Linked DNA regions of Callithrix jacchus. The protein of the gene in region 3 interacts with the protein of the main gene of each other region in a pairwise test. Links are inferred from orthologs where the notes say so. Each region holds a gene or a part of one and is shown on either strand. Other genes may lie near its edges.

Evidence for each region.
Region 1: the proteins of XRN2 (region 3) and TARDBP interact in binary tests that used the Homo sapiens proteins (3 or more experiments, as listed by UniProt). The link is inferred for Callithrix jacchus from reciprocal best matches to the Homo sapiens genes XRN2 and TARDBP.
Region 2: the proteins of XRN2 (region 3) and DISC1 interact in binary tests that used the Homo sapiens proteins (3 or more experiments, as listed by UniProt). The link is inferred for Callithrix jacchus from reciprocal best matches to the Homo sapiens genes XRN2 and DISC1.

What each region holds. Positions count from the first base shown.
Region 1 is NC_133508.1:48,882,150-48,893,402, reverse strand, and holds the start of TARDBP (TAR DNA-binding protein 43), read right to left. Parts: upstream 5,711-11,253; 5' UTR 5,626-5,710; intron 4,662-5,625; 5' UTR 4,651-4,661; coding exon 4,413-4,650; intron 1,165-4,412; coding exon 1,001-1,164; intron 1-1,000. UniProt on the Homo sapiens protein: RNA-binding protein that is involved in various steps of RNA biogenesis and processing.
Region 2 is NC_133520.1:52,933,872-52,944,529, forward strand, and holds part of DISC1 (disrupted in schizophrenia 1 protein), read right to left. Parts: intron 3,654-10,658; coding exon 3,377-3,653; exon of another isoform or gene 2,776-3,376; intron 2,225-2,775; coding exon of another isoform or gene 2,177-2,224; exon of another isoform or gene 1,635-2,176; intron 1-1,634. UniProt on the Homo sapiens protein: Involved in the regulation of multiple aspects of embryonic and adult neurogenesis. Required for neural progenitor proliferation in the ventrical/subventrical zone during embryonic brain development and in the adult dentate gyrus of the hippocampus.
Region 3 is NC_133506.1:28,363,216-28,373,873, forward strand, and holds part of XRN2 (5'-3' exoribonuclease 2), read left to right. Parts: intron 1-1,988; coding exon 1,989-2,107; intron 2,108-4,308; coding exon 4,309-4,444; intron 4,445-6,030; coding exon 6,031-6,138; intron 6,139-6,224; coding exon 6,225-6,314; intron 6,315-6,955; coding exon 6,956-7,028; intron 7,029-10,658. UniProt on the Homo sapiens protein: Possesses 5'->3' exoribonuclease activity. May promote the termination of transcription by RNA polymerase II.

The DNA.
Region 1 (11,253 bases), on a different chromosome or scaffold from region 3:
GCAACAGAGTCAGATCCTGTCTCCAAAGGGGGAAAAAAAAAAAGAGAGAGAGAAACTACGTCTGGATATGTTGGCCAAGGTGGTCTTGAACTTTTGGCCTCAAGCCATCCTCCCACCTTGGCCTCCCAAAATGCTGGGATTACAGGCGTGAGCCACAACAGAATTTTAATAGAACATCTTAGAATGAGCTCAAATATAAACTAAATTGTTTACAATCTTAATTAAACAAAGCAGAAAAATCTCCCATTAGTGTAAAATACAAAGAAAAATGCTATTATCATCTACTTTCCTTAAGCCTTCGTGCATTTTACTTTATTATCAAAGGCAATAATATTGGGTACAAAATATATGTATAAATATAACAAATATTGGAAGTATCATCTATGGAACATGGACAGTGCCATTAAAATAACAAGAATGCGACCAGGCGCAGTAGCTTACAACTGTAATCCCAGCAATTTGGGAGATCAAGGCAGATGGACTGCCTGAGGTCAGGAGTTCAAGACCAGCCTGGCCAACAAGGTGAAACCCTGTCTCTGTTAAAAATACAAAATTAGCCAGGCATGATGGTATGCGCCAGTAATCCCAGATATCGGAGGCTGAGACAGGAGAATCGCTTGAACCCAGGAGGTGAAGGCTGCAGCGGGCCAAGATTGCACCACTGCACTCCAACGTGGGCAGCAAAGTGAGACTCCGTCTCAAAAAACCAAAAAAAAAAAAAAAAAAAAAACCGACAAAAAACAAAACACAAAACAACAACAACAACAAAAACAAACCTAACAAGAATGCAGCTGGGCAATGGTGGCTCATGCCTGTAATCCCAGCATATTGGGGTCAAGGCAGGAGGACAGTTTGAGCCCAGGAGTTTGACACCAGCCTGGGTAACAGAGTGAGACCCCCATCTGTTATTTATTTATATTAATAAATAAATGCTAGGTGCTCATTCACTGGTTAAAAAAAAAAAAAAAAAAAAAAAATGTTTGATGCAATCCAAGTTTACCTGCACCATAAGAACTTCTCCAAAGGTACTAAAATAGTCTTTCAGGTCCTGTTCAGTTGTTTTCCATGGGAGACCCAACACTATTAAATCGGATGTTTTCTGGACTGCTCTTTTCACTTTCACTGCTGATGAAGCATCTGTCTCATCCATTTTTCTTTTGTTATCTAAATAAAATGAGCAGAAACCTTTTAGAAATTTTCACTTAGCGCTTCTTTAAAAACACTACCTCCTACGTCTAGAAATGAGAAGCAAAAAGACTCTTAAGACTGGGCGTGGTGGCTCATGCCTGTAATCCTAGCACTTTGGAAGGCTGCGGCAGGCAGATGGTCTGAGCTCAGGAGTTTGCAACCAGCCTGGGCAACAGTGAAACTCCATCTCTACTAACAAAAAATGAGCCAGCCTGCACCAGTAATCCCAGCTACTTAGGAGGCAGGAGAATTATTTGAACCTGGGAGGCGGAGGTTGCAGTGAGCTGAGATTGTGCCATTGCACTCCAGCCTGGGCCACAGAGCAAGACTCCGTCTCAAAAAAAAAAAAAAAAAAGACTAAGAACTGTTAAGACACCAAAAACTTGGCAAGGAGTGATGTTTGCTCTAGAGGACAGAATAAAGGCTTGCATTTAGTGTCTCAGGTGCTTTTCTGGTGCAAATTCAGTGATTTCCAATTTTGTTTTTTGTAGTATTTCCAGATTACAATCTCTCCCTCTCAAAAGGTTTATCAAAACAAAAATAACTCTATTTTACTTTGACTTTAAATTTCCCTAATTATCTGAATGCCTATTACATAATTTAAGGGCTATATAACAAAAAATCAGCAACTTGTATCTCCTGAAGTAGATTTAACTTTAATCTTTCTTTCTTTCTTTTTTTTTTTTTTGAGACGGAGTTTTGCTCGTTACCCAGGCTGGAGGGCAATGGCGCGATCTCGGCTCACTGCAACCTCCGCCACCTGGGTTCAGGCAATTCTCCTGCCTCAGCCTCCTGAGTAGCTGGGATTACAGGCACATGCCACCATGCCCAGCTCATTTTTTGTATTTTTAGTAGAGACGGGGTTTCACCATGTTGACCAGGATGGTCTCAATCTCTTGACCTCGTGATCCACCCGCCTCAGCCTCCCAAAGTGCTGGGATTACAGGCATGAGCCACCGCGCCAGGCCTAACTTTTATCTTTCCTAAACTCTCAACAATGAATACACATTACTTTTCTAATAAAAAAGAAAACCAGGAACAGTGATGTGTATGCCTGTAGTTCCAGCAACTTGCAAGGCTGAGGAGGAAGGACAATTTGAGGTCAGGAGTTTGAGGCTGCAGTAAACCTATGAATAGCCACTGCACTCCAGCCTGGGCAACACAGCAAGAGCCCCCATTTCTAATTTAAAAAAAGAGAAAGAAACCAAAAGTTTGGCTTACTTAAAAAACATAAAACATAACCTTAACCTTAGGTTATTTACAAGAGGAGAGAATTTTTTTTTGAGATGAAGTCTCATTCTGTCACCCAGGCTGGAGTACAGTGGCATAATCTCCACTCACTGTAACCTCCACCTCCCAGGTTCATGCAATTCTCCTGCCTCAGCCTCCCAAGTAGCTGGGATTACAGGTGCCTGCCAGCATACCCAGCTAATTTTTGTATTTTTAGTAGAGATGGGTTTTTGCCATGTTGGCCGGGCTGATCTCTTAACTCCTGACCTCAGCTGATCCATCCACCTCAGTCTCCCAAAGGGCTGGGATTACAGGCATGAGCCACCATGCCCAGCCTGGGGAGAGATATTAAATGACATTTTTTTTTCTTTTGAGATGGAGTCTCGCTCTGCTGCCCAGGCTGGAGAGCAGTGGCAAGAGCTCACTGTAACCTCCACCTTCTGGGTTCAAGCAATTCTTTTGCCTAAGCCTCCCAAGTAACTGAGACTATAGGTGTGAACTACCACACATGGCTAATTTTTGTATTTTTAATAGAGACGGGGTTTTACCATGTTGGTCAGGCTGGTCTTGAACTTCTGACCTCAGATGATCTGCCTGCCTCAGCCTCCCAAAGTGCTGGGAGGCAGTGCACCCAGCCTGACATTTTAAATTTGGGTAAGTATTTCTATACCCAATTGCTCAAGAAACAGCATACTAAAAACCCTGAGTTAACATTATTAAAATTTTTCTTTTTTCTTTGTGTTTTTTTTGAGACAGAGTCTTGCTCTGTTACCCAGGATGGAGTGCAATGGCATGATCTCAGGTCACTAACCTCCACCTTCCAGGTTCAAGCAATTCTCCTGCCTCAGCCTCCAGAGTAGCTGGGACTATAGGTGCCTGGCTAATTTGTTTTTTTTTTCTTTTGTTTCGCAATGGAGTTTCACTCTTGTTGCCCAGGCTGGAGTACAATGGTGCAATCTCGGCTCACTTCAACCTCGGCCTCCCAGGTTCAAGCGATTCTCCTGCCTCAGCCTCTGGAGTAGCTGGGATTACAGGCACCCACCACCAAGCCTGGCTAATTTTTTGTGTTTTTAATAGAGACCAGGTTTCACCATGTTGGCCAGGCTGGTCTCAAACTTCTTACCTTGGCTGATACACCCACTTCAGCCTCCCAAAGTGCTGGGATTACAGGTGTGAGCTACTGCACCAGGCCCTAAAATTTTTCTAGACATGTAAATTAACATCTTGCATACTGACCAAATTTGATGGACTTTGTTGCAATATCAAGTTATAATAAAAGCAACACAGATCAACTAATAGCACACATTCATACTGCTGAAATTAGCTATTTCCTTGGCACATTTTTAAAATATCATGCTTTCTTTTCTCAGATTTAGAACATCAGTGATAAAATGAAGCAAAAAGGGTAAGACTAGAACCTCAAAATTGTAATTGGAACTGCACTAATTCAAGATTTGGCTACTGCAACTGCTGTTTATTTAAGGAAAAAAATGAAGTCAGGTTTCCTGAATGAATGATGTTAAGACCAAAAGGACAATGAACAAACTCAAAATTGTAATTGGAACTGCACTAATTCAAGATTTGGCTACTGCAACTGCTGTTTATTTAAGGAAAAAAATGAAGTCAGATTTCCTGAATGAATGATGTTAAGACCAAAAGGACAATGAACAAACCCAAATACTGGAGCACTGTAGAAGAATCTACTTACAACACTGATACAAGTCCCAAGCATTCTTAGTAACTCCTTACGTGGCAGAAACTGGGCAAAGCTTATTAAAATATTTTTTAAATACATCGTTCTCTCTTTTAAAATGATATATGATCCCCAGTTTCCACAAATTTAGACTCATGGTTTTCCAAACTTATCTAATTGTGAAGTTCAAGAAAATACTTAAGTTACAGGAGACCTGCCGCCACAAAGAGGCCATGACCCATGGATGAGACACACACCTGACTACGCTTCAGCACGATTACAAAACCAAATGGTAACAAACCTTTGGGATAGTTGACAACATACACCAGATTTCCCCAGCCAGCATCGGGGGCATGCAGAATTCCTTCCACCAGCCGGACACCTCTCATACATTGAGACACTGGATTCCTGTAGCGAAGCCCACAGGCCCCTGGAAACTGGGCTGTAACCGTGGACAGCAGCACGGTCCCATCATCTTCCGATGGTATTTCAATGGGTTCATCGTTCTCATCTTCGGTTACCCGAATATATTCAGACATCTTTTACTTTTCTTAAAAGGAAAAGAGAAATGAATGAACATTCACGCCAGAGTAATGGTTTCCTTCTAATGCTAATACCTACACCACGTTAGTGTTCTAACTTCCAGAAAAATTCTTCTCTGGATTCGTATATGCACTAGTATCCCTGAAAAATGACGAGGGGAAGGTAAGGGTAGTGATTTCCTATCAAAATCTGATGCCTCGCCAGTTCATTCAATCAACAAACTTTCCCTGAGGGCTTATGATATGTCAGGTATTGCAACTGTAACTGCTGAGTACAACGTGGTTTGCTGGTTACAAGCTGGGGTATGCAGGAGAATAACAGTAGCTATTTTATGACAGTCGCGGAAGTCGTTATGTAATCCTGAAGTCAGGAGAGGAGCCTAACAGGCTGAGGCATGGGCATGATGGGTTAAGGTCGATTTTCCCAATTAAGTGATGCATCAGCTGAACCTGAAGACTGAATATAAGCAGTGAACCAGGTGTAAAAAACAGCAGAAGAGTCCTCTCCATTCCTCATTTTGGGGCTTTCCGGGGGCTCTACAAGCCCGAGCCGCAAGGCCGGCGGCGACAGATCCTGGCGGTGCCGGCCTTCGCCTCCCAGAAACCCGCGCGTGCCAGCCTTGGGAGGAGTTTCTTAGCGCGGCCCGGGGTGGGGCGCAGGAGCACCAAGGCCCGAGCTGGCAGCGTCCCCGGACTGCAAAGTACCGAAGGCGCCGGCACTATTCAGGACCAGGCAAACCTTCGCCTCAGGCTGCGCGGCAGCGCGGGCAGGGTCCCGCTTTCGGCGCCTGCGGCCTTCCTGCGGCAGGACCTAACGACGCTCCCGAGCGAGTCCGCTCGGGCAGGACGAGGCCCGGCCTCACGGCTCATTTCCCTGGGCAGGGGCCGAAGCCGCTGCGTCCGCCTCGGGCTGCCCCAATGCGGGAGCCGAGACACCCAGGGCGTCCTCATTGAGAAGGCTCCGCGACTCACCCGCTAGGCCGCTGCTGGGAAGCCCGACAGGGACAGCGAGGCAGCGACGAACCAAAGCGCAGCCCAGCGACCGCTTCGCTCCCACAAAATGGCGCTAGAGCCGCCTCCTCCCTCTGCCCGCCGGCGTCCTCTCCCACCGAGCGCTTGTCAAGAGGGGGAGGGCGCCGAGGAGAGCCACGATGACCCTCTTCCCAGGGACTCGGGCTGCCTTCTCGAAATTCGAGCCTACAGAGAAGCTCGAGAGCTAAAATAAGACCAGGAACTAGGCCTGAAAAGCTGAAAATCGAAAAAAAATGTGGCTGTGTAGGCGCTGACCTCCCCCCACATAACGTAGCAGATGGTTTCGGCCGACCAACCGCCAGCCCGGGTCTCGTTCGGAGCTCGCGCACTTTCAAAGCGCGCGAGAGTAGCGCAGGGGCTCGGCCAAAAAGGGTGGGGCGGGGCCTGGAGGGGGCGGGGCTCGGGATCCCGGGCCAAATAGACTTGGGAAGCAGGGTAAGACCCGGACTCCTTTTCTGAAAGGCTGCCGGTTGCGTCCTCTCCTCCCTCCGCTAGCCCACCTCCAAACCTGGAAACAATAACTTTGTTCTAATAATAGCAATCAAAGCGCTACTTTGTGTCACGTATCTTCTGAGTACTCACATACTTAATAGCCCCAACAGTTTTGTGCGGCAGGAACTATTGATATTCATTCTGCGAGTGAGGAAACTGAGGCACAGAGCGATCAAGTATCTTGCTTAAAGTCACCCAAGGATAGGGTGATAGTAGCGTGCGCCTGTAATCCCAGCTACTCGGGAAGCTGAGACAGGAGAATTGCTTGAACCAGGTAGGCAGAGGTTGCGGTGAGCCAATATCGCCCCACTTGACTCCGATCTGGGCAAAAGAGTGAGACCCTGTCCCCCCGCCAAAAAAAAAGTTGGCCAGGCTCAGTGGCTGCTGCCTGTAATCCCAGCATTTTGGTAGGCCGAGGCGGGCGGATCACAAGGTCAAGAGATCAAGACCTCCTGGCCAATATGGTAAAATCTCATCTCTTAAAACAAAACAAAACAAAAGTCACCTAAGGAGTAAATGGTAGACCTACGGTTTGAATCTCGAGGCACAAAATGCTAACATGTTCTGGCTCCAGCCCTCTAATAATAATATAATAATACAGTATTTCATCTATTTTAAGGCACACTTGATTGATTGATTGAGATGGAGTCTCACTAGAGCGATCTGCAGCTCACTGCAACCTCCACCTCCCAGGTTGGAAGGATAGCTGGGATTATAGGAATGCAAAGACACCATGCCTGGCTTTGTTTTGTTTGTTCGTTTTGAGACTCTGTTGTCTGGGCTGCAGTGCAGCTGTTAAGTATGTGAGTACTCAGAAGATACGTGACACAAAGTAGCGCTTTGTTATCTCGGCTCACTGCAAACTTTGCCTCCTGGGTTCCTGTGATTCTCCAGCCTCAGCCTCCCAAGTAGCTGAGATACGTCCAGCTAATTTTTGTATTTTTGGTAGACACAGTGTTTCACCATGTTGGCCAGGATGGTCTCAAACTCCTGACCTTGTGATTTGCCCACCTTGGCCTCCCAAAGTGCTGGGATTACAGGCATGAACCACTGTGCCGAGCCTAATTTTTGTATTTTTAGTAGAGACTAAAAATATGTTGGCCAGGCTGATCTCGAACTCCTGGCCTCAAGTGATCTGCCCCACCTCGGCTTCCCAAAGTGCTGAGATTACAGACACGAGCCACCTTTCTTTTTACTTTCTTTCTTTCTTTCTTTCCTTCTTTCCTTCTTTCCTTCTTTCCTTCCTTCTTCTTTCTTTCTTTCTTTCTTTCTTTCTTTCTTTCTTTCTTTCTTTCTTTCTTTCTTTCTTTCTTTCTTTCTTTCTTTCTTTCTTTCTTTCTTTCTTTCTTTCTTTCTTTCTTTCTTTCTTTCTTTCTTTTTTCTTTCTTTCTTGACCGAGTCTCACTCTGTTGCCCAAGCTGGAGTGCAGTGGCACAGTCTCAGCTCACTGCAACCTCCACCTCCCGGGTTCAACCGATTCTCCTGCCTCAGCCTCCTGAGTAGCTGGGACTACAAGCATGCACCACCATGCCTGGCTAATTTTTGTATTTTAACCCCTTTGCCCAGGCTGGTCTTGAACTCCTGACCTCAGGTGATACACCGGCCTCCCAAAGTGCCACCACACCCAGCCTTTGTTTCACATTTCTGGAATCAGTATGTGATTTCAGTTCCAGTTCCAGTTGATGATATTGTGTCATAGTTTAATTGGTAACTATGTTTCTTTGTATATACATTAATAATTTAATGACATACAGTAAGAAATGTTTACACAAAGTATTTATTTATTTGTTTATTTATTTAAGATAGGGTCTCACCCAGGATAGAGTCACCCAGGATAGAGTGCAGTGTGGTGACCTCGGCTCACTCCAACTCCTGGACTCAAGCGATCTTCTCGTCTTAGCCTCCCGAGTAGCTGGGACCACAGGTGCACACCACCACACTCAGCTAATTTTTTTGCATTTTTGGTAGAGACAGGGTCTCTCCATGTTGCCCGGGCTGGTCTTGAACTCCTGGGCTCAAGTGATCCGCCTACCTCAGCCCTCCAAACTGCTGAGATTATAGGTGTGAGCCACCACACCTGGCCATGTACTTTATATTTATGTATTAACTCATTTTATCCTCTTAACAACCCTGTCAGGTAGGTGCCATTGTGAGTCATGGAGATTAAGTAGCGCTGCCCAAGCTCTCATGACCAATAAGTGGTGGAACCGGAATTTGAACCCAGGCCATCTGGTTGATGCTTTTTATGACTTTCCAGGGAATAAATAGTAAATCCTGCAAGTCCATCTCTGATGCCTGCTGTTCATATTAAGCAGATTATGTCTGAACTGATTTGAAGGGATAAGGGAGGAAGGATTGAAGGCAGATATAATTAGTGACCTTTACTCACCCCCAGAAATGGCCCTGCACATGGAATGAGGCTCGACAGATGGACCCTGATGGTCACTAACATTGTGAAACACAGGACAAGCCACAGAGATCTGATTCATCTCAATTAATACACCCAGCCACAGTGGGGGAGAAGTCATTTTGTTGTTGTTGCTGTTGTTCGTTTTTTTTTACTTTTTTTTAAATTTTAGAATTAGTTTCTTTTTAAAAGACAGGGTTTTGCCATGATGGCCAGGCTGGTCTTGAACTGCTGACCTCAGGTGATCTGCCCACCTTGGCCTCCAAAGTGCTTGGATTACAGGCGTGAGCCAGGGTTTTTGGTTTTTTTGGTTTGGTTTTTTTTGAGACAGGGTTTCCCTCTGTCACCCAGGCTGGTGTGCAGTGGTGCCATTATGGCTCACTGCAGCCTCTACCTCCCAGGCTCAAGTGATCCTCTCACCTCAGCCTCCCAAGTAGCTGGGATTACAGGTGCATGCCACCTGGTTACTTTTTGTTATTTTTAATAGAGACAGAGTCTTGACATGTTGCCTAGGCTGGCCTCCAACTCCTGAGCTTAAGTGATCCACCTGCCTCAGTCTCCCAGAGTGCTGGGATTACAGGCATAAACCACCGTGTCCAGTGAAGTTGGTTTTATCATTCCCATTTTACAGAAGAAAAATTTGAGGCTCATAGACCATATGGCAGGCCTGAGTTTATACAGCTGCTGAAGGATGTCACTAGCCCATAAATTGCTGTCCCAGGTTGGTCAGACCCTAAACTTCTGCACTATGTCCACTGCCCTGGCCATTCCCTGCAACAAGCTTGAGACTGAGGCATTTAGTGCGGGTAGTGCTGTGGAGTCCTGGGTGCTGGCTGCAGGTGGGCAGAGCTGGGTGTGCAGAAGCTCCTAGGGACAGGTCACACAGGAACACAACCCCAAAGGCTGGCCCTTCTCCCAAGAAATTTTCAGGCGTCCAGGCGCGGTGGCTCAAGCCTGTAATCCCAGCACTTTGGGAGGCCGAGGCGGGTGGATCACGAGGTCAAGATATCGAGACCATCCTGGTCAACATGGTGAAACCCCGTCTCTACTAAAAATACAAAAAAATTAGCTGGGCATGGTGGCGCGTGCCTGTAATCCCAGCTACTCGGGAGGCTGAGGCAGGAGAATTGTCTGAACCCAGGAGGCGGAGGTTGCAGTGAGCCGAGATCGCGCCATTGCACTCCAGCCTGGGTAACAAGAGCGAAACTCCATCTCAAAAAAAAAAAAAAAAAAAAAGAAAAAGAAAAATTTTCAGGTGAGTTGGGAGGACAAGCAAACACTGTCTTAAGGAAGGTCAGTAACTCAATCAGGAAGAGAATTTGAAGGCCAGAGGGAGGCTGGACCACAGATCCTCCTGCTCCTGTCTCAGTTAGCTCTGGGATTCAGCTTTACAGCACTGATTGTCAAAAGTCATTTGAACCGCAGCATTTTATTTGTTTCAAGACAGAGTCTTGCTCTGTCGCCCAGGCTGGAGTGCAGTGGCACAATCTCGGCTCACTGCAACCTCTGCCTCCTGGGTTCAAGCTATTTTCCTGCCTCAGCCTCCTAAGTAGCTGGAACTACAGGTAGGCATGCCTGGCTAATTTCTGTATTTTTAGCAGAGATGAAGTTTTACCATGTTGGCCAGGCTGGTCTTGAACACCTGACCTCAAGCGATCCTCCTGCCTCAGCCTCCTGCAGGGGTGAGTCACTGTGCCCGGCCCAGCCCCCCGTTTTCAACGAGGTTACTTGGGGACTTGCCTTCTCCTCTTCCAGCACCTCCCTCAAATTCCCTCAGCTCATCAGCCCCATGAGACGAACAGGAGGCAGCTCCACAACATTTCTGAAAACTGAAAGAAATAGCAGGGCAATAATTTTATTTATTTATTTATTTATGTAGGTGTGCACCACCACATCTGGCTAATTAAAATTTTTTGTAAAGATATGGTCTGGTTATGTTGCCTAGGCTGGTTATAAACTCCTTGCCTCAAGTAATCCTCCCATCTTGGCCTCCCCAAATGCTAGGATTACAGGCACACACCACCCCCCAGCCAATAAAGATATTTAAATAAAAATAACTTTAGGGCCAGGCGAGGTGACTCACACCTGTAATCCCAGCATTTTGGGAGGCTGAGGTGAGCGGATCATCTGAGGTCAGAAGTTTGAGACCAGCCTGACCAACATGGAGAAACCTCGTCACTACTAAAATTAACCCAGTCATGGTGGTGCATGCCTGTAATCCCAGCTACTCAGGAGGCTGAGGCAGGAGAATCACTTAAACCTGCGAGGCGGAGGTTGCAGTGAGCCAAGATCTCGCCATTGCACTCCAGCCTGGGCACCAAGAGTGAAACTCCGTCTCAAAAAAAAAAAAAAAAGTAATTTTAGGCCAGGCACAGTAGCTCACACCTGTAATCCCAGCACTTTGGGAGGCTGAGGCAGATGGATCACTTGAGCCCTGGAGTTTGAGACCAGCCTAGACAACATGGTGAAACACCATCTCTACAAAAAAATGCAAAATTTAGCCAGACATAGTCATGTACACCTGTGGTTACAGTTACTGGAGAGGCTGTTGTGGGAGGATGACTTGACCCCAGGGGGCAGAGATGGTTGCAGTGAGCCATGAACAAGAACTGTCTCCAAAAATAAAAAAATTATTTTATCAAGATTTAATTTCCCCTCATCTCCATATT
Region 2 (10,658 bases), on a different chromosome or scaffold from region 3:
ACACCTTCCCAGTGAGAGCCTTGCTATCATTTTTTGTACCTTCAGTAGTCTAAAATCCTAGACCCGAATATAAACAGGAAGGTTTTGCTTCATTAAACCTTTCTCTGTCTAGATATCCTCCACTAACTCATTGCTCACATCTGCTTCTTGACAAAAATCAGAGTATATTATACATGTAAAGGAAAATTTCAAAATCTCGAGCTCCCCAAACTCCTTATACAAGAGGGGAAGTTAAGCCTGGAGACCGAGTCATGCAACACCCTCTCCCAAACAAATAGCTGTTCTAGCATTCTGCACACAAGAAGCATTTTAGATGTTTGTGACTGCCAGAAAGAGTGACAGAAACACAAGTTAACACAAATTAGCTCCTACTATGTATGTGTGTCTCATTTTGAGATGCATCCTTTTATTTAAATCTTCAGCACAGCTTCCTGAGACAGTTTTCATTATCCTCTCATCGAGATGGTGGTGTTTTTCTTAACAGATGAGGAGATGCGGCCTGTAAGAGACTTAATTGGGGATCACAGCAAACTCAGACTCCAGCCTTGGGCTCTTTCCAGCAGGCCAAACTGCCTTTTGATAGTCCTGAGACAAAAGCAACTGACTCAAACATCTATAGTCTGGTTTTTAAATGGGTAGACGTCTAAAACATTTTTTAAATCTTTTTTGTAAAGTCATACACAGTAAAATTCACTCTTTTTGGTGTGAAGTTATGAATTTAGACATACGCATAGTCACAAAACCACCACCACAATTGAGAAAGAGAATACTTTTATCATCCTGCCCCCAACTTCCATACACCAAATTCCTTTCTGTTGCTCTTGTAAATGAGTCCCTTCCCCTTTCCTGGAAACAGCGGATCTTTTTTCTGGACCCATAATTTTGAACTTTTCAGAAAACATCATCTTAAAATCCATGACACTCATGACTTCAAAGAATGGCTGCTCTCTCTGTAAATATAAACCCACCACTGCGATACAGGAACAGGGAAATGATACCAAAAGGCAGCAAAAGCTATAAAGACCCCTCTAAAGCACGCACCCACCCCCAAGAAAGCAACAAATAAACTACAGGACATCCTTAGCATTTCAGTTGGTGGAGAGGATCTGGAAGGCTCTCTAGGGACCCCCTGGAACTCCCAAACAGCAGCCATCACAGGACCTAGGATAAGGCTCTTCTCTTTATTCATCTTTGACCCTAAGCTTTCTATTTTTCCACAAATACAGCTCTGTGTTCTTATAGCCAGATAGTGAAATTGACAGGTGCTTACAATCATATGGATGAAAACTAATCCTCCTATGCCTGGGAAAGTCAGTCCCCAGAGAGCCTGGAAGGCTTAGGGCTCAGTTGGTAAAGCAGAGAAGGAGAAAGAGAGGTTGAAAGAGAGTGATGGGGCACAGTGCCCCAAAATATGGCACCTTGGCATTTGAGGAACAGCAGAAGCAGGAAAGTCTCTCTGACCTTCTGCAGCCATTCTCTTCTGAAGCAGGCCATAAATAATTCTCTGACCTTCCTCTAAAGTAGATTATAACACCCTCATCTTTAAAGTGTACACACTATGCCCAAAGGAAAGGAATATCCTTATCTCTGAAGACACAGGGATGCAGTGAAGAATCTGAACAAGCAGGCCTTACTAAGCTTCCCCCAGTTTATTGCCATTTACATCATACACCTTTTGTCCAATAATATTTCTCCACATCTGCCTGCTATTCATCAAATTTAAGCACAAAAATACACTGGTTTCTATTGCTTTGGGTTTTCATTTCTGAAGGCTCCTGTGTCACATACATTTTATATTGAACAAATTTGTATATTTTTCTCTTGTTACTCTGTCTGTATAGGTGCCTCAGCTGTGAACCTTTTGATGGATTTTTTAAAAGATACTTTTTTTCTCCCCTCCAGGAGGAAGGGATCTCTGCTGAATCAGTCCTGGCCTCCAGCAGAATCAATGACCCAGGGACTCCCATCACATACCTGGCTTGGCTTCTCACAGTCCCACACTGAGCTCCTGGTAGCTCACTTTGGAAAGCCAGCCACACCTTCAAAGACTCATTCCCAGAACCTGCAGTTTCTTCCACCCAGCAAGAAATCCTTGCTTAGGTGGCATTCCCTCCACCCCAGAATATTCTTTCAAGCCATCCTCCTGCAGCAGGTGGTAAGTTTTCAACACCTCTCCTCAGAGCATTGGAGGCCAGGCTTTCCTGAAGGTTCCCACCTGCAGTACCTGGGTTAAAAAAAGAGTTCAGATGTCTGTAAGTTAATGTAGTGCCTGTGATTGGGCCAGCAGGGATTCAGAGTGCAATGGTTGCTATCTTATAAGACTATGCCATCCAAATATAGGATTAAGGATCAATTTTCCAAGCAGTCCAGAGGCAGTGACTAAGAACACAAGTGTCTGCTCTGTGAAGGCCATCATCCTGTAGATGAGATGTGAGGCTGCCAGGGCGGGCCTGGGGAGGTGGCAATTTCCCCACCCACCAGTGGTGAGTCTTGGCAAAGACCCAGAAAGGAGGCACAGCCAACACCTAACATCAACCATCAGACTTGAAGGCCATGTGTCATGTTCCTCCAGCCTCTAAATGCTTTTCCCTTTTCACACTTAGAACACCTGGGAACCTGGATTGACAAAGAGCTCTGAAGCCTCAGGTCATGGCACTGAAATCAGGAAAAACTTCCTAGGGGCTTTTTATGGAAAAGACTCTTGTTAGGGTGGGAGGGCAAAAGTAAGGAGAGGAAGGGGAAGGGAGAGGGGAAAGAGGGTAGAAAAAAAGAAAGTTAAATAAAATAATATTTTAATTTGTAATACATAGATCTCAGGCCAAACTTTAGTTGTGCATATGAAAGAAGAACATGATAAGCATTCATTATGATCTGGTTTTGGTAAAAAGAATTAATGGGATATATACATATATTTGAATGTTTCATTCAAATAAATAACAACGTATTGTAATATATAGATTCTAAATATATAATTAAATATCACATATGGCACATGACATATAATTTATAGTATATATATTTAATGTCATTATGGCATATATACTCTATAGTGTATATAACTGTCATATATATGACATATATAATGCTATATATGGTAATTCTATATTAGACTGCATATTCTAATTCTAGCCACTAAATTAGAATGAAAGTGGAACTATATATGCCAAAAGCTGGGTTTTTTTGCTCTTCTGTATTTCAAACTTCTACAAAAATTCTACATTTTTTTGTAATCATATTCAAGAGTTATTGAAACTTTTAAAAGCTTATATAGCTCAATGGGAAGCCCTCCCAATATTAATTGTTTCTATTTGGAGCATGGTCCCAAAGCACCCCTTAGAATAGGGTCCCCTCTGGACACCATGTGGAAAGGACAGACCTCTTTCTGTTCGCCTCCAGCCCAGTGCAGAGAGGGGTTCAGGTGACCCTTCCATTCTTCCAGGGCCTGCAAAGGGGTCTTCCTCTCATCCTCAGAGTGGAGCCTAGGGGGAATGGGAGGAGCCGCTGAACAGACAGCTCCCACTAGGTCATCCATCTGCCCCTCATCTTCTACAGACAGGCTGCCCTTGGCTTCATGGAGTTGTAGCCTCTGGATAAGCAATCGACAAGCTTCCAAGTCAGCTTCCCACACTTTTCCAAGCAGTGGACACTTGCAGCTGAGACAGAGAGGAAACAAAGGCATAAAAATGAACTCAGTGATATTTCATCATACCAAGTCAATAGCTTGTCTATCTGGCTAAATGTCAGCTAGTCATCTTCTAATTCATGACTTAAATTCTCAGTGATGAATTATTTCAACTAGAAGAGTCATCAGAGGGACCAGATTTGTACACCATCAAGTTACCATGAAACGTGCTGGTCCTTGGCTGCTTGGTCTGCAAAGGCATCCAAAATCCTATGTATTTTTCGAAACTCAGCAACCAGTACGACACGGCTTCTGCTCATAACCGTTTTCAGCCCTACTGGCTTGCTTTGACTCCTCAGGCCTGACCAACTCTTCCAAGTTAGATCATTTCTCTCCATCCATTTCCCACCAACACACATATACCCAGGCCTTCATCTGAGTAAATCATGTTATCTTCAGAACTCGGCTTAAATAACCTTTTAGGGGGAAACATTATCTGCCTTCCAACTGGAAAATATGATGGGTCTCTTAGCATTTTTTACTTTTATTTCGGAGTATTTATCACAGTTCCAATTATTTATGTGATTATTGGGTTTTTTTCCCCCTGAGGGTAGGGCTTATAACTACGTTGTTCTCCACTCTATTGCTAGACTGTATTTTATTAGTCTGTTTTCATACTGCTATAAAGAACTACCCAAGACTGTTTTTATAAAGGAAAGAGGTTTAACTGACCCAAAGTTCAGCGTAGCTGGGGAGGCGTTAGGAAACTTATTCATGGCAGAAGGTGAAGGGGAAGCAAGGCACCTTCTTCACATGGTGGCAAGAAAGAGAAGTGCAGAGCAAAAAGAGAAAGAGCCCCTGGTAAAACCATGAGATCTCGTGAGATCTCACTATCCTGAGAACAGCACTGGGAAACTGTCCCCATGACTCAGTTACCTCCACCTGGTCTCCCTTGACATTTGGGGATTATGGGGATCTTGATCCAAGATGAAATACGGTGGGGACACAAAGCCTAACCACATTAGTTCACCACTGGCCCCTCCCAAATCTCATGTCCCTTTCAAATTTCAAAACCAATCATGCCTTTACAACAGTTCCCCAAAGTCTAAATTCATTCCAGCATTAGCCAAAAATTCCAAGTCCAAAGTCTCATTCATCTAGAAACCTTGTAAAATAAGAAAGAGACTTGAGATAAGTCAAGTCTCTTTCATCTAGGAGCCCTGTAAAATAAAAAACAAGTTAGTTAGTTCCAAGATACAATGGGGATACAGACATTGGATAAATGCTCCCATCCCAAATGGGAGAAATTGGCCAAAACAAAGGGGCTACAAGGCCTCATGCAACTCTAAAATCCAGCCAGGCAGTCAAATCCTAAAGCTCTGAAAGCTCCTTTGACTCCATGTCTCACATCCAGGTCATGCTGATGCAAGAGGTGGATTCCTATGTTCTTGGACAGTTCTACCCCTATGGCTTTGCAGGGCATAGTCCCCTTCCCAGCTGCTTTCACAGGCTGGCACTAAGTATCTGCAGCTTTTCCAGGTGCATGGTGCAAGCTATTAGTGGATCTACTATTCTGGGGTTTGGAGGATGGTGGCCCTCTTCTCACAGCTCCACTAGGCAGTGCCCCAGCAGGGACTCTGTGTGGGGGCTCCAACCCCACATTTTCCTTCCACACTGCCCTAGCAGAGGTTCTCCATGAGTGCTCCATCCCTGCAGCAAACTTCTGCCTGGACATCCAGGCATTTCCAGACATCCTCTGAAATCTAGGCACAGGTTCCCAAACCTCAATTCTTGACTTCTGTGTACCCACGGGTCCAACACCACATGTAAGCTGCCAAGGCTTCAGGCTTGCACCCTCTGAAGCAACAGACTGAGCTGTACAATGGCCACTTTAGCCATGGCTGGGACACAGGCACCAAATCCTGAGGATGCATAAAGCAGCAAGGCCCTGGGCCCAGCCCAAGAAACTGTTTTTTCCTCATAGGTCTCCAGGCCTGTGGTGGGATGGGCTGCCATGAAGACCTCTGACAGGCCCTGGAAACATTTTCCCCATTGTCTTGGGGATTAACATTTGGCTGCTTGTTACTTATGTAAATTTCTGCAGCAAGCTTTAATTTCACCTCAGAAAATGGAATTTTTTCTATTGCATCATCAGGCTGCAAATTTTCTTAAATGTTATGCCCTGCTTCCCTTTTTAACATAAGTTCCAATTGCAAATCATCTCTTTGTGAATGCATAAAAATAAATTCTTTTAAGAGGACCCAAGTCATTTCTTGAATGCTTTGCTGCTTAGGCCTTTCTTCGACTAGATACCCTAAATCAGTCTCTCAAGTTCAAAGTTCTGTAGATCTCTAGGGCTGGGGCAAAAGGCTGCCCATCTCTTTACTAAAGCAAAACAAGAGTCACCTTTATTCAAATTTCTAACAAGTTCCTCATCTCTGACACCACCTCAGCCCGGACTTCATTGTCCATATCACTATCAGCATTTTGATTAAAGCCATTCAACAAGTCTCTAGGAAATTCCAAACTTTCTCACATCTTCCTGTCTTCTTCTGAGCCCTCCAAACCGTTCCAACCTCTGCCTACTACCCAGTTCCAAATCTCTTTCACATTTTTTGGTATCTTTATACCATCTTCAACATGGATCATGAATTTAAATACATACGATGCCCAGCATACAATGTAAATGTGCAAAGCAGGGAAGGGATGATACAAAGCATAACAACTAATATTCAGCTTCAGTGGTAGAAGACAATAGAAAGGAGTGACCCTGGCTAGTTAGGAAGACATATCCCTGTATATGGAGCACATATCATCAACCCATCAGCTCAGGCACACTGAAACTGTAAGAAATGTAAATTCAATGTTGACAAAAATTTTGATTTTTTTGGAAAGCCAAAAATTAGGAATTGCCAATGAAAATATATATTTTCATCCATCCAGACAGCTTCATGCTAGATATTTTCTATAGACTTAACTTCCATTTAATAATCATTCCTCCTACTGTCTCTACTCTGCTATTCAATCCACTGTTGTATTCTAAATTTCAGTTACTTTTAATTTGATTTTCTTTTATGTATTCCAGTTCTCCATCAACATTCTCCAACATGTTTCCTATTTTTTTTAGACATATGGATTCTCCCAAAGCCAACATCCATAAATGAGATCAGAAGGAAAAACAAGGAATTAGGCAGAAGTAATATTAGAAGAGATTATCAGCAAAGAATATCATGTATTGACAATGAACATCAAACCACACATTTCGGAAGTACTACAACTCAAAATAGGAAAAGATCAAAGAAAACACACACCTAGGCCCATCATAATGAAACTTCTAAACACCAAAGACAGAATGAAACTCTTAAAAGCAGTGAGAGAAAAGAAAGGCACATTAACTTCAAGGGAAGAAAAGTATGGGTGACAGAAACAGTGAATGGTAGAAGACAATCAAACATCTTTAAAATGCTGAAAGAAATTAACTGCCAATCTAGAATTATGCAACCATTCTGAACTTTCTTCAAAAATCCAAGTAAAATAGGCTAGGCGTGGTGATTGACAATGGGAGAGGCATAATGGGACTTCTCATGTACAAGAAGCAATTTATTTCTTGATGGTGATGGTTTCATGAATTCATTTAGTGAAAATTCATCAAGTTGTACATTTGTGATGTATGTATTTTATGTCTATGCCAATCTAAAATAACAAAAAGAGAAAAAATATAATAAGAAAAGGATGAAGGAAGGAAAGGAAGAAAATAAAAAGGGAAGGAAGGGAGGGAAGGAGAGTGAGAGAGGGAACAGATTTTCTGAGATGCACTGGAGCAGAAGTACAGGAATGGGGTCTGATGCACATTGGAAACAGCAGTCCTTATTTGGGGGCACTTTGGTATTTTCATTTTCCTAATTTTAGCCAATCTAATAGGTAAAAGGTGGGATCTTGTCTGAAGTTGCGTTTCTCCACTAGGATCATTTCATAGCCACTCAGACTTTCTTCTGTGCATTATCTTTCATATTCATTGCCTGTTTATTCCTTTCTTGGGTTCCCTATCCTTTTCCCAAGGGTTTTGTTGGAGGAGCCATTTTATTACCACTTCAATATCTTTAACCTTTACACTCTATTCAATTTTTCCATTTATTCTTCCATCCATTTAAATATTTTATATAACCTTTATATAAATTAATCTATTTTCTTTTCTTTCTTTTTTTTTTTTAAGACAGAGTCTTGCTCTGTCACCAGGCTGGAGTGCAGTGGCACGATCTCAGCTCACTGCAACTTTTGCTTCCGGGATTCAAGCAATTTTCATGCCTCAGCCTCCCGAGTAGCTGGGATTACAGGCACACATCACCACATCCAGCTTGTTTGTTTGTTTTTTCAGTAGAGATGAGGTTTCACCATGTTGGCCAGGACGATCTCAATCTCCTGACCTCATGGGTGATCCACCCACCTCAGCTTCCCAAAGGGCTGGAATTACAGGTGTGAGCCACCAGACACCGTCTAAATTAATCCACTTTCTTGAATTCCCGACCTCAGGTGATCTGCCCATTTTGGTGGCCTCCAAAGTGCCTGGATTACAGGCGTGAGCCTCCACGCCCATCCAATTAATCCACTTTCTAATGAATTTCCAATGTATTGTTACATGTTTGTTCATAATTTTAAAAACGATTTTAAAAGTTACTTGTTTATAGATCTCCTTTTAGGCATATGTTTTACTTATTCTTTTTCTGATTTATCTTATTTAGTCTTATCAAAGGTTTGCTATCTTATTAACCTCTTCAAAGAACAAATTTTTGCTTTGTTAATCTTCACATTGATTTTTGTGCACTATTTTATTGATTTGTTCCTATCTTTATATTTCCATTTTCCCCATCATTTGGATTATCTTAATTTTTATTAGCTTCTGATAAACACTTAACTCACTTGTTTTCTTTTTCTTATTTTCCTCTCTTGATATTTTAATGTTATAATAAATATATTTAAAGCTCTTAATTTTTGTCTGAATAATACTTTAACCATGTTCAATATATGTTTATTTAAATTTTTAATTATTAAATATTTTAAATATACAGAAAAATACCAAAAATAATTTAACAAACATCTATGGGCCTATCATAAAACCATCAGTTCATAATATTTTTCTGTAATTGCTTTATATTTATTTTTAGAATTTACAGCATTATTGTCCAGCAGATTTTACAGACAGCTTTTTCGTGTCTTTCTTAATGTTTTCCTTGTTAATTCAAGGGCTGTATAGTGGTATGCTTTTCAGTTTCTAAACAGAAGAATTTTTTCTCACCTCCCTTTTTGTTAGATTAATATCTAATTTTATTGCATACTGGTTCAGAATTAACTGTGTAAAATTAACTGAGGCTTCTTCTATCACCTAGTACTTCATTGATTGTTGTAAATTTTCCATATGTGTCCACAAATGAGCATTGTGTTCACTGAGTGTAAAGCGAAGGTATATTATGTCATTAAAATTTTTATTTTTTTTGTTGTGTGCTTCATCTGTGAGTTTCAGAAATGAGTGTTTTAAATTTCCAACTATAATTCTTGACTCTTCCATTTCATCCCACAGTTTTATTGGTTGTTTTATGAGTCTCAGACTATGATTTTAGATACCTAGGGGTTCCAATCATTAAATTTTCTAACTGCTTCTTTTCTATAGATGACAATTTTCATTGTTTATATGATATTTTAGCCTTAAAGTCTATTTTCTCTGATATTAACATGGTTATTCCAACACTCTTTTAGTTCCATTTTACCCAGCTTATCTTTTTACTATTCTATGTTTTCAGTCTATTTGCATATTTTAAAAATGACACCTACACAAAACATTTGCTGAATTGTATGAAACCCATTCTAAGATTTTGTCTTTGAATTGCTGGTCTTAACCCATGTAGTCTCAATAATTGTAATTACTGTGAAATTACTGGTGTTTTCTCATTGATTTTAGCCTAGTTTTTCAATTTTAAAAATTCACTACTTTTTTCTATCTTTTTTCTTTTTATTAAATTCACATACAATTGCAAGAAAAAATATAGAGAGATCTCATGTACCTATACCCAATTCTTAATAATAACAACACTTTGCAAAACAATAGTACAATATCATACCAGAGTACTGACATTGATGAAATCCACTGATCATTGTCAGAGTTCCCATTGTGTGTGTGTGTTCATAGTTTTATACAATTTTATCACTTGTGTAGGTTCAGGTATCCCCTACCACATTCAAGATTCAGAACAATTCAATTATCACATGAATCTCTGTGTCCCCTTCTGTAACCACACCCACCTATGCCCTATCCTCCCCCTCCCTAGTTCCTGGAGACCACTAAGTCTGTTACCCCTTTTTAAAATGTTGTCATCTCAAAAATAGTATATAAACAGAATCATAAAGTAAATACCTTTAGGGATTTGCTTTTTTTTTTTTTGGCTCAGTATAATTTCCTGAAGATTTGTGTATCAATTGTTTATTTCCTTTTAACTGCTGAGTACTATTCCATGCTATGTATGTACCACAGTGTGTTTAACCATTCACCCACAGAAAGACATTTCAGATATTCCTAATATGGGTATATTATGAATAAAAGATACTATAAACATCTGTGCACAGGCATTTGCATAAAATTAAAATTTTCATTTTTCTGAAATAATTGTCCAACAGTGCAATTGCTGAGTTGTATCATACTTACATGTTCTGTTTTGTAAGAAACTGCCCAACTGTTTTTCAGAGTGGCCATACCATTTGTGTTCTTATCAGCAATGCATGAGTGATCTTGTTTCTTTGCATCCTCACCAATATTCGGTGTTACATTTTTTTTGTTTTTACCATTCTGAGAGGTATGTAATGTTATCTCATTGTGGTTTCCATTTCCATTACCTTCATGTCTAATGATGTTGACTATCTTTTCATGTGCTTCTTTGCCATCTATATAGCCTCTTCAGTGTGGTATGTGTTATGTCTTTGCCTCTTTTCTACTTGAATTTATATTTTTTAGTGTTGGCTTTTGAGACTTTATACATTATAGATACTA
Region 3 (10,658 bases):
TAAAATGTTCTAAATTTAAGGAAATTATGAAGCCAAATTACCAGCTCATTTAAAGGGAGCCATTAAAGTTAGGGATTCCTGTTGTTTTATTTTTCTGAGCTGTTGGGTTGTAGTCTCTAGTGCTTGCCTACTGATGATTAACATTCTTAGTGTTTTAATAAATAGCTTCCATTTCCTTATATATGTGGTTTTATAGTTAGTATTCTTCAGTGTGGTATCATTATATCTAATTTGTCTGATTAAAAAACAGCCCGAGAAATTTGAATGAATTTCTGTGAATCTTGTATGTTCAGAAAATATTTTTGTTGGTAGAGGCAGAGCAGTGGAGATTTGACATTAAATGGTGAACAGCTTCTTTTTCTAGAAAGTATATTATTATTTTTGTTTGCTAAAGATAGAGTTTATTTCTTGTTAGTCAAGAATTAATTTTGTATAAGTTTGCTTTTTACACAACTTCTCTGTATATAGACAATTAATGGGAATGTTGCTGTCATAATTTAATCCAAATGGATTAGTGTTCGGTGGAAAACAATAGTTTACTTACTGAATGGTTAACCACTGTGCACCAGGGAGACAGCGTGCCAGTAATCTTTCACCTGTATTGGTGCATTTAATCCTTGCAATAACGTGTAAGGAAACAGAACAGTGTCATCCCCATATTAAGATGAGGCTCACAAAGGTTAAGTAATAAATTGTTAGAGGCCACACACCCAGTAAAGGTTGAATTTGGAATTTTAGACTTAGATCTGTCTAACTAAAAATACCTACCTTGTTTTCCAAGTACAACAGTGCCTTCCTGTATTTATTTTTATTGGTTTTTTTTGACAGTATTATCCGTACCTTTTCATGAATAACATTGACATTATATGTTTTTAAAAGAGAAATGCTCCAAGCTCTATATGATATATAATTTTGTATTTTAACTTTTCTTGACCTGTGGGATGAACTGCGTTTATGCTGTGGATACTGTAATTGTTATATCATTGAAATGGCCTTCTGTGCTCTCAGTTTTAAAACAATTCAGTTACTTGAAATATCTAATAATACTGTGAGTAACAGAAGAAAAAGTTTGCTGTGGAAATGCTTCTGCCACTTAGTTTTTGATGATTTGGTCCGCTAGCCTAAGTAACTAAAGTTGCAGAAGATTTTCTTTTAATTCTTAATTAAATATTAAAATATGTTAGGGTTATATTAAAATAAGTTAATTAAAATTAACCTATTAATGTTAATTGAGTTAGGTACAAAGGGAAGATAATACTGAATTTAAAGTGATAGCTGAGTCTTCGAAATACCAATAAAATCTGCATTTTTCTAAGATGACTAATAGATTTTTATTTTTAGATTGATTTTTAAAACAGAACATATAAAATAATTTAACACAGTCTCATTAAACTTGCTTTTCACAGTGGTTGTAACTAGGTTGAACACTTAGCATTTAACTGCATTCTCACAGCATTGACTATTTTATGTATTATGACGTCTATATTGTTACATATTATGTGCTATTTAGGTAATACATTTTATATACAATATAGAACTATACATATATAAAAAATATAGGTTATATGTATATATTTTTTCCCTCATAGCCTTGCCATTTGGTAGGTGGAAAATGATTGTGAATTCCTAACAGGAATTGTCACTATTGATTGTCACAAATCATTGTGAACCATCAAAGGAAAATAGAATTCAAGTAGTATAATTTAAAAATATCTATAGAATGAAAACTTTTTTCTTCAGAAACATTTTTTTTTTGGCCCTAATAATGGTAATTGTTTTCAGTTAAGGCACAGGAAGTTTGGGTATTACATTACTTCTTTTGAGGGAAAGTGGAATGGAGCAAGATCAGTCTCTGTACTTTCTAAATATGTTTATCATATCTACATAGTAACTTTAAAAGTGTTAATGTAAAACACTGTTAAGTAGTGGTGGCTGGATATACCTTCTTATGTAAAATGAATAATGAAATCCTTCATCTGTAATTGCAGAGTCCTTCAGTATCTCCTAATACGAGTTTCACATCTGATGGCTCCCCATCTCCAATAGGAGGAATTAAGCGAAAAGCAGAAGACAGTGACAGTGAACCTGAGCCAGAGGATAACGTCAGGTGAAGCCATTTTTTGGTAGCACTTTGTTAGCAAATTGCTGAAATAGATGCAGTCTAATTAATGCTATTTAGCTTAGAGCAGCAGTGCCTTCAGATGCTTGCCTGTGATCTTTTTATCCACCAGTAATTAATGTGGAGGGTTAGAAAAGTCAGTAAATTCCAGAGAGATGGGTAAGCTATAGCTGTTAAACCTAAGTGTCTAGATTAGTATGCGTGCAGGCTTTCGTCCTCCAATCCACTTTCCCCTCTGAGACCAGGCACAAGATCGGCTAGACATGAGGTGTTAGCTCTGACTATGTGATCTGAATGTGGCTGTTTGGAGACTGAGTAAAGTTTCGAGCTGCTTAACCTAGAAAGTTCGGTCAGTACTTAGACACTTAATATAGTTTGCTTTAATCTTCTCAATTGAAAAAGTTCTTCCTCAAAATGAAATATGCAGAAATCATTCTGTTAAGAGATCAATATGTATGTTTTTTAAAAACCACAAACTTGCATATGCACAATTATATTTCATGACAGAGGAGTTTCCCTTTAAGTAGATACTTCAAATTTATAATAGGAAGCTGGTTCTTTAATTCATCCTGAAGTTTGAGATCATTATATAATAAGATTAACAACCTCTCATGTAATTAAATCCAGATTTGAACCGTGGGCTCCAAGTGCAAAAGGCCAACAATCTCAATAATTGTAGCTCATTAAGAATTTAGGAAAACGATCTATTTCAAAGGTAAACAAGACAGTAGTCACCTACAGCTCATGCTTCTTTTACAGGACATGGAAAGTGTGTGATTTGTGTTTATGATTAAACTTTGCAAGGGTCATGTGTGGTTCTGCATTTTTCTAACATCCTTTGATATCAGATCCATGTCTACTTGTGCTCGAACATTTCCTCTGTATATCTTTAGTTTCTGTCCTCTACTTTCTGTACTTTGGATTTTCCCCTTAGAGCATGTCTTTGGTTTTGTTTACTATGTAGCCATCATGATCAATACTAGTTTAGTAGGTAACTTGATTTGTTTAGTATTTTATTGTTTAATCCTGGTGCTGAGGGTAATCAGAGTGGAAATGCCTCTACCAAAAAATGCTTGGGGCTTTTAGCATTTTTTCATTTATATTTTCTGTAAAATAGTGATAATCCATTTTATGGATAAGGGGATATTTCTAATTGTTCTCTGAATCCTTTGTATTGTGGGAGGGATATATTACAATTGATAATGGTATATTCTGAAACATGACTGCAATTAATATATGAAATCTGATACTTAGAAAAGATGCCTAAATGAAGATTCAAGAGAATCATCTTGATGTTCTTGATCTGTTCCGATGTTTTAAAAAGTGTTCTTTGGCTTCTTCATGTTCCTTAAATCAAATGTTAAATCTTAAGAATAAGAAATGAATTCTTAAAAAAACACAATATATTGGGTGAAAATGTAGTTGGTCACATTGTATTTTCAGTGATGAATGATAATTTAGTGGATTCTTTGACCTGCTTCTAGATTTTACTGTAACATACATATGTTTGTGTGTGTATATGTATACATAGATATATAGAGATATAGAATGTGTGTGTCTCTCTATATATATCTCTATCTCCTTTCCTTAAGCCATCAACAGCTCTTAGCTGAAAGAGGGATAAGGCCCAAGCAAGGATAGAGAGAGTAGGTATACACATAATTTCTGCCTAATGTCTAGATTATTCTTTTATGAACTATTTTTTATATTTAAAAAAGTTACCTGTGCAGTCTTAAGTAATTTAGTTGACTTTCTTTGTATAGTTTAAATATATTTTAATAAACTAAGGAACTTGAACTATATAAAATATCTTCAATATTTGAATCTTAAAATGTAGCTTTAAAATTGTACAAAGAAACATGTAAAGCAATATTAAAATTTGAGCAAATGTGTTCTGTATCTTTTTCAATAACATTTTTTAAAATGTGGTTTTATAGTGGTCTTAGCAGAATCAGTGATTGGGGTGTTAGTGTTTAATTGTCTTTAAGTTGATAATAAATCCTATGAAATTAGACTTTTTAGAAATAATGAAAAAGAAATAATGAAATGAATCTGTGTTAGCATGACTGTTTTCCTTTTTCATATTTCCCCTGGATGTTAAATATAAATTGAATTGGGGTGTAAATTGGTAGACAGCCTGTTACTGAAGGTGTGTTAATTCAGCATAAATGAGCTGTGCCTGGTTTTAGGTTATGGGAAGCTGGCTGGAAGCAGCGGTACTATAAGAACAAATTTGATGTGGATGCAGCTGATGAGAAATTCCGTCGGAAAGTTGTGCAGTCTTACGTTGAAGGACTTTGCTGGGTTCTTAGATATTATTACCAGGTACAAAAAGAATATTTTCCTCTGAATTTGTAGTCAATATTTTAAGAAAGATACTAATTTCTTTTTTTTTTTTTGAGATGGAGTCTTGCTCTGTCGCCCAGGCTGGAGTGCTGGGGCACAGTCTCAGCTCACTGCAACCTCTGTGCCTCTGCCTCCCAGATTTAAGCATCTCATGCCTTACCTAGCCTTCTGAGTAGCTGGGATTACAGGTGCATGCCACCACACATGGCTACTTTTTGTATTTTTAGGAAAGATGGGGCTTCACCATGTTGGTGAGGCTGGTCTCAAACTCCTGACCTTGTGATCCGCCCGCCTTGGCTTCCCAAAGTGCTGGGATTACAGGCGTGAGCCACCATGGCTGGCCTAGTAATTTCTATAGTAATAGATATTATTGAGCTGTATTCCGAAAACAAACCCAGGCTCATTTTTTAAAGTTTTCTATTCAGAGGTTCATAATTGTAAATGTTTGTGGAGACTTTGAAGCTTCTTAGTTATTAATATATAAACAAAGCTAATTTTTGTTAAAATTATTTCAACATCAAGTAATGTGGTTGACTGTACTTTGTCTTTAAGATGATCAGAGTTCAGTGCTTTTTAAATTGGAGTTTAAAAATAACTGAGTAATGAATTGACAGTCACTAAATGACTGAAAAAAGGAAAAGCCTGAAAAATACCAGTAAGAATTCTAAAGGAATTTGAATGCTACCATCTTTATAATATAGTGATGATACATGAAGTGCATTCTAACTGGAATAACCTGTATTCTCCCTTTTGATGATTGAGATGTCAGATTGGTGAGCGATTAGGTAGACATACTGAGGACTGTTAACACTGATAGTTAGTATCTGTTTTGTACTTAGAGAGCAAACCAGATTAACTTTGGTATGACCTGGGAATAGACGAAGTTTGTTGACAAGTAGAAAGTAGCACAGTGCACTGAGTATTGACTGTTAAGTACTCTGTTAGCATGTTTTACTCTTACTATCAAGATTTAAATTCACTAGACACTGTCAAAACACATCTTAGATCTCTCTTTTCTATGAGTATAACTTGTTTTATTTTCTTTTTGGTGTGTTTACTCACGTGTTTTTATAGGCAAAAGAAAGTTGTCATGTGAAAATACAATGGTGAATTGTAAAATGAAACTCGTGGCTGTTTTACTGTCAGACACTTTTCCAATAATGTCTCTAACCACCTTACATGCTCAGTAAATGTCAGCTACAACTGCTCTTGGTTTTATTTGATGATGATAGCTCTAGAGATGGAAAGAAATGTCACTATGTATTTTAAAGATAAAAATCTTCACCAAATTCTGTTTGCGAATATAAAGTTTGACATTAACTACTGATTTTTCAGAGATGCTTTGCAGTATTTTTAAAGTCAAAGAGCCATTGATATGAATTAGAAACTTCAAACTTAAACAGGTTTTAGGAGTCATGGAAAAGATAGTATTTGGAATATATACCAGAAGTTGTGTGTTTTGTAAATAGAATATTATAGGTTAACAGTCTAATTTTTGCTTTTTTTAATTGTCTCCATCATTAACATAGGTTTTCCTTTTTGTTGTAACTTTTTAATGATTCTAGGGCTGTGCTTCCTGGAAGTGGTATTATCCATTTCATTATGCACCATTTGCTTCAGACTTTGAAGGCATTGCTGACATGCCATCTGATTTTGAGAAGGGTACAAAACCGGTAAGCTTAATTATTTAAAGTCATAAAATTTACAGAATTTTGGATTAGATCATAATCTTGGGTATTTAACTTTTTTATTTTTGCAGTTTAAACCTCTGGAACAACTTATGGGGGTTTTTCCAGCTGCAAGTGGTAATTTTCTACCTCCATCATGGCGGAAGCTTATGAGTGATCCCGTGAGTCTCTGTATTTTGAGTATGTGGGTAACAGGATTTTCATCATACATTTTATTAATATTGAAACAGTGAAGTACAGAAACAAAGTATTTTGAGTTTTTTGTATTTTTTTTACTCCACATACACATATTTTTCTTACTTTCTTTGGCCCTGCACAGTAGATAAAATCAGTTTGTTTTTGGGAGAAGTTTTTATAACAGTCATTTTGTTCTCTGGCTACCTGTAAGTCTTTAACTTTATTTATTCCAGCCGTATATTGTAGCCACCAAAGATAGGGAGACTGCCTTACACCAAGTCACCTATGAACTTGTTTTATATGCTAGCTGGAAAGAGTGAGCCCCAGCAAGGAAATAGGAAGTGTTAGAGTATGTAAAACCTTTACTGTCTGCCTGCCTGTGGCCCATAGTTGTCAGTTCTAAAATTCTTCTACAATAATGCTTTTCCGTTGCATCTTTTAGAATAAATTGTTCATTTTGTTTTACTATATTTGTGATTAATGACCTAATGTCTCTTAACATTTTTTAAAAGGAATGCACTTTATTTTCTCATCAGGTCTTATAACTTGAATGAATCCTATCAAATTCTTTATAACAGAGATGTGTGACTTCTGTTTTGATTCTTTACTTTTCTCCCCGATACAGGATTCTAGTATAATTGACTTCTATCCTGAAGATTTTGCTATTGATTTGAATGGGAAGAAATATGCATGGCAAGGTAAAATTTAGATGTTCTTTTCTGGTAAAACTGTAAACACAGTTTTTGAAATGAAATAATTCTGTAAAAGATAAATATTTTAGCCTGGGCATCATAGTGAAATCTCATCTCTACAAAAAAATACAAAAATTAGTGTGGTGTGGTGGCTCACACCTGTAGTCCCCTCTACTTTGGGAGGCTGAGATGGGAGGATCACTTGAGTCTGGGAGGTCTAGGCTGCAGTGAGCTTTGACTATGCCACTGCACTATAGCCTGGGGGACAGAATGAGGCACTGTCTCATAAATAAATATTTAAAAAGGTAAATATTATAAGAATTGTATGTGAAATGTTAATATTTCTCCATCAACTTGGGATTAGCAATGATTAGTAGTAAATTTAATTATAACATTGTTATATGTAAAATTTCAGTGCTGCCAAAGAAATAACACTCGAATATAAATTGTCTCAACAAGGTAATTTACATCTATAGAAGGGTGCCTCTCACAGATAGAGCAATGGTGAGCACACACTTGAACAGGGGAGGGGAAGAGGTTTTTATCCCTGATGCAGCCCCTGCTGCTGTGTCATTCCCCTGTTGGTTAGGGGTAGACCGCACAATCTAAGCTAATTCTGACTGGCTATTTTTTTTTTATTTTTTGAGATGGGGTTTCGCTCTTGTTACCCAGGCTGGAGTACAATGGCACGGTCTCAGCTCACCACAACCTCCGCCTCCTGGGATCAGGCAATTCTCCTGCTTCAGCCTCCTGAGTAGCTGGGATTACAGGCTCGCGCCACCATGCCCAGCTAATTTTTTGTATTTTTAGTTAAGACGGGGTTTCACCATGTTGACCTCGTGATCCACCTCCCAAAGTGCTGGGATTACAGGCATGAGCCACTGTGCCCGGCCAGGCATGACTAGCTATTTTTAAGAGAGCAGGGATATGAGCCAGAGTCGCGGGGTAAGTGGTTTGGTGGGAAAATCGGTTATGGTACAGGTATTTAAAGGTGTCTCAAGGTTAGATCAGTTGACCATGGGTGACTCAGGTCAAAGCAGGTGCCTGGAATGAGTCAGGACGGAGCACGGGACCAGGGGAACAGATGTGAACTACTGATTAGAACTGGTGGAAAAGGCTGATTACTGAAAGTACAAGGAAGTTAAACTTAAAAATGGAGGACAAAGGACTGAACATACTGACATACTGATTCTTTGAAGAGAAATTCAGAACTCATTTCATCCAACAATTCCCTCCTCTTGAATTTTCTTCACAGCTTTCTCTTCAAACTTCCTTAGCATGTCTTGGCTTGGTTGTTCTGCTTGATTTTCTAAAAGAAGAAGCTTCTCTGAATAAGGTAGAGGGATAGTTAAGGGAGGTTTTAGTAAGTGTGGCTTCTTTGAGTCTCTGCACTAACCCATGGATGCATGGTATGATACAACACCCGACATGAATGAGTACACCCACTACGGCTGTAAGAGAAGTAAGAATTGAGGCTGTCGTTCCTATCCATTTACCAAACCATTTTCCTAGGCACCCTGTGTAGGGGTCATTTACCCTAAATTGTTGGCTAACTCATTGGACAGAGCCATTAGACCTTGCAATGCCTTTGTTATACTTCCATCGGGGGCAGTATTGTTTGGAATGAAGGTACAACAGTGAGTTTTAATCATGATGCAAACTCCTCCTGTCTCTGCTAGTATCATGTCTAAGGCTATTCTGTTTCCAAGCCGTCGGGCTGCTGGCTCCTAATTGCTCAACTATTCCTTTAACAGCACCTCCAGTGTAGTTAATAAACTGCTCTTGGTTGTAACAAATGTAATTTATCCAATCTACATTTTTATTAACTGTCACCCACCAAAATACGGGCTCAAATCCTGCAGCTGTTTAATCATGGGCTTTAAATTTATCTGCTACTCCTGTGGGACTCCAATTGCATCTAAATAGACATGAGTCAAAAGACCCATAAGGGGTTTCTTTTGCTTTATGATGTTGTATTTTTTCTTCCTCTGGTTGATGAAATGCCAGGGTGAAAGGGATAGCCAGTTGGATTAGAGCACAAGTGCCACTCCAGTTACTTGGCAGAGTGTCTAGTAAAAGTCAACCCCAGTACCACTACACATCTGCTTGGGGATGACCAAGGGCTGACTGATTGGTAAGCTCTCGAAAATTCTTCAGCTCACTGCATCCCTTTGGGTCTCCATGGAATGCTAAGTTTCCTCCTTGTTGTGAGAGACACCAAGTGAACTTAGTGTAGGGAGATGGAAGCTGCATGGCCGTCAGGGGCTGACCCTCAGGGTGTCGAACTTCGGGCTATGGCAGAGAGTTTGTTCTGACCTGCTACCCTAGGCTGTGGAATCCTGGAAAAGAGCTACCGTGCAGCGCATGCCTGGTCAATTAGAAGACCATCCTAATGGAAAGGGGACAATCTGGGCCTCTGGCCTGTCATGCACACAAGCATAACAATTGCTTTTGTTTAACGTGCAGATGGAATATTTGATCCATTTCAACCAGACATTTGCATTTTGCTATCCTGTCTCAACTGACAAATTTTTGTTTTAAGTCTTTAACTTCTACAGTAACTACCTTGGTCTTGTCATTAGATGGAGGAGAAACAATTGTTTTGTTGTGAGAGGTTTTGGAAGCAGGCTTAGAGGTTAGGGTAGGCAATGGAGGGTCAGTGAAACATATTTCAGAGGTTCTGATAGGGTCTTTTTTTGAAACCTCAGCCCCCATACCATAAAACCAACTTAAAGAAGGGAACTGGCTTGGATAAGAAGGGGGAGAACTTTGAGGGTTTGAAATGATAACCTGTATAGGATTACAATGATTTAGCTGACAGGGGAAGCTGTTCCTTTAGTAAAATGAATGTATGGTTTTAGGAAATTACAACTACTGATTGGGGCAGTCGCTCCTTGCTCTTTAGTGGTCCACAGAACGTTGGACCAACTATGGCAAAAAAGCTCTATATAGGGGTCAGAGGCAAGACTCCCGGTTGATAATGGGGTTGTCATCGAAATCTTCCCAGACTGAATGGTCCCAGTTCACTAATGTCCAGTCTGAGGAGAGTCAGAAATGACAGAGGTCCTTTTCTGAGGTGGAGAGCTTTCTTTGACTTGACAAGTGTCCGTAGGATATAACAAGGCAAGCATCAAATGTAATAGCTTGAGGCAAAGTTGACTTGGTTACATTAATGTCTGGATGGTCAGCAATAGAGCAAGGAGAGAAGAAAGAGTAATAGAATAGATGAAAGAGCTAAATTTTTCTTAGCTTTAGTTTGGTAAGGTTTTCTCCTGGGACTATGGCCCATGTTTCCAGAGGGGGCGGTGCTTTCTTGCCTCGGGTGTGATGGGTCCATCTTCTCTCCGCCATCTGGAATGAGGTTTCAGTAATTAGGAACACTAAGTAAGGTCCTTCCCAGGCTGGCTCGAGCTTCTCTTCTTTCCAGCTTTTGATGAGGACCTGATCCCCAGGCTGATGTTGATTCACCAAGAACTTCAGGGGCAGTGCCTGTGCTAAGAGTCCTTTAGTTTTAAGAGAAGAGAAAGTAGAAGATAGATCAAGTATATCATTTGTAAGGAATTGATCTTTAGTTTCAAAGGTAGGAATGTCAGCAGTGGAGTGTAAATAAGGCAATCCATAGAGCATCTCATAAAG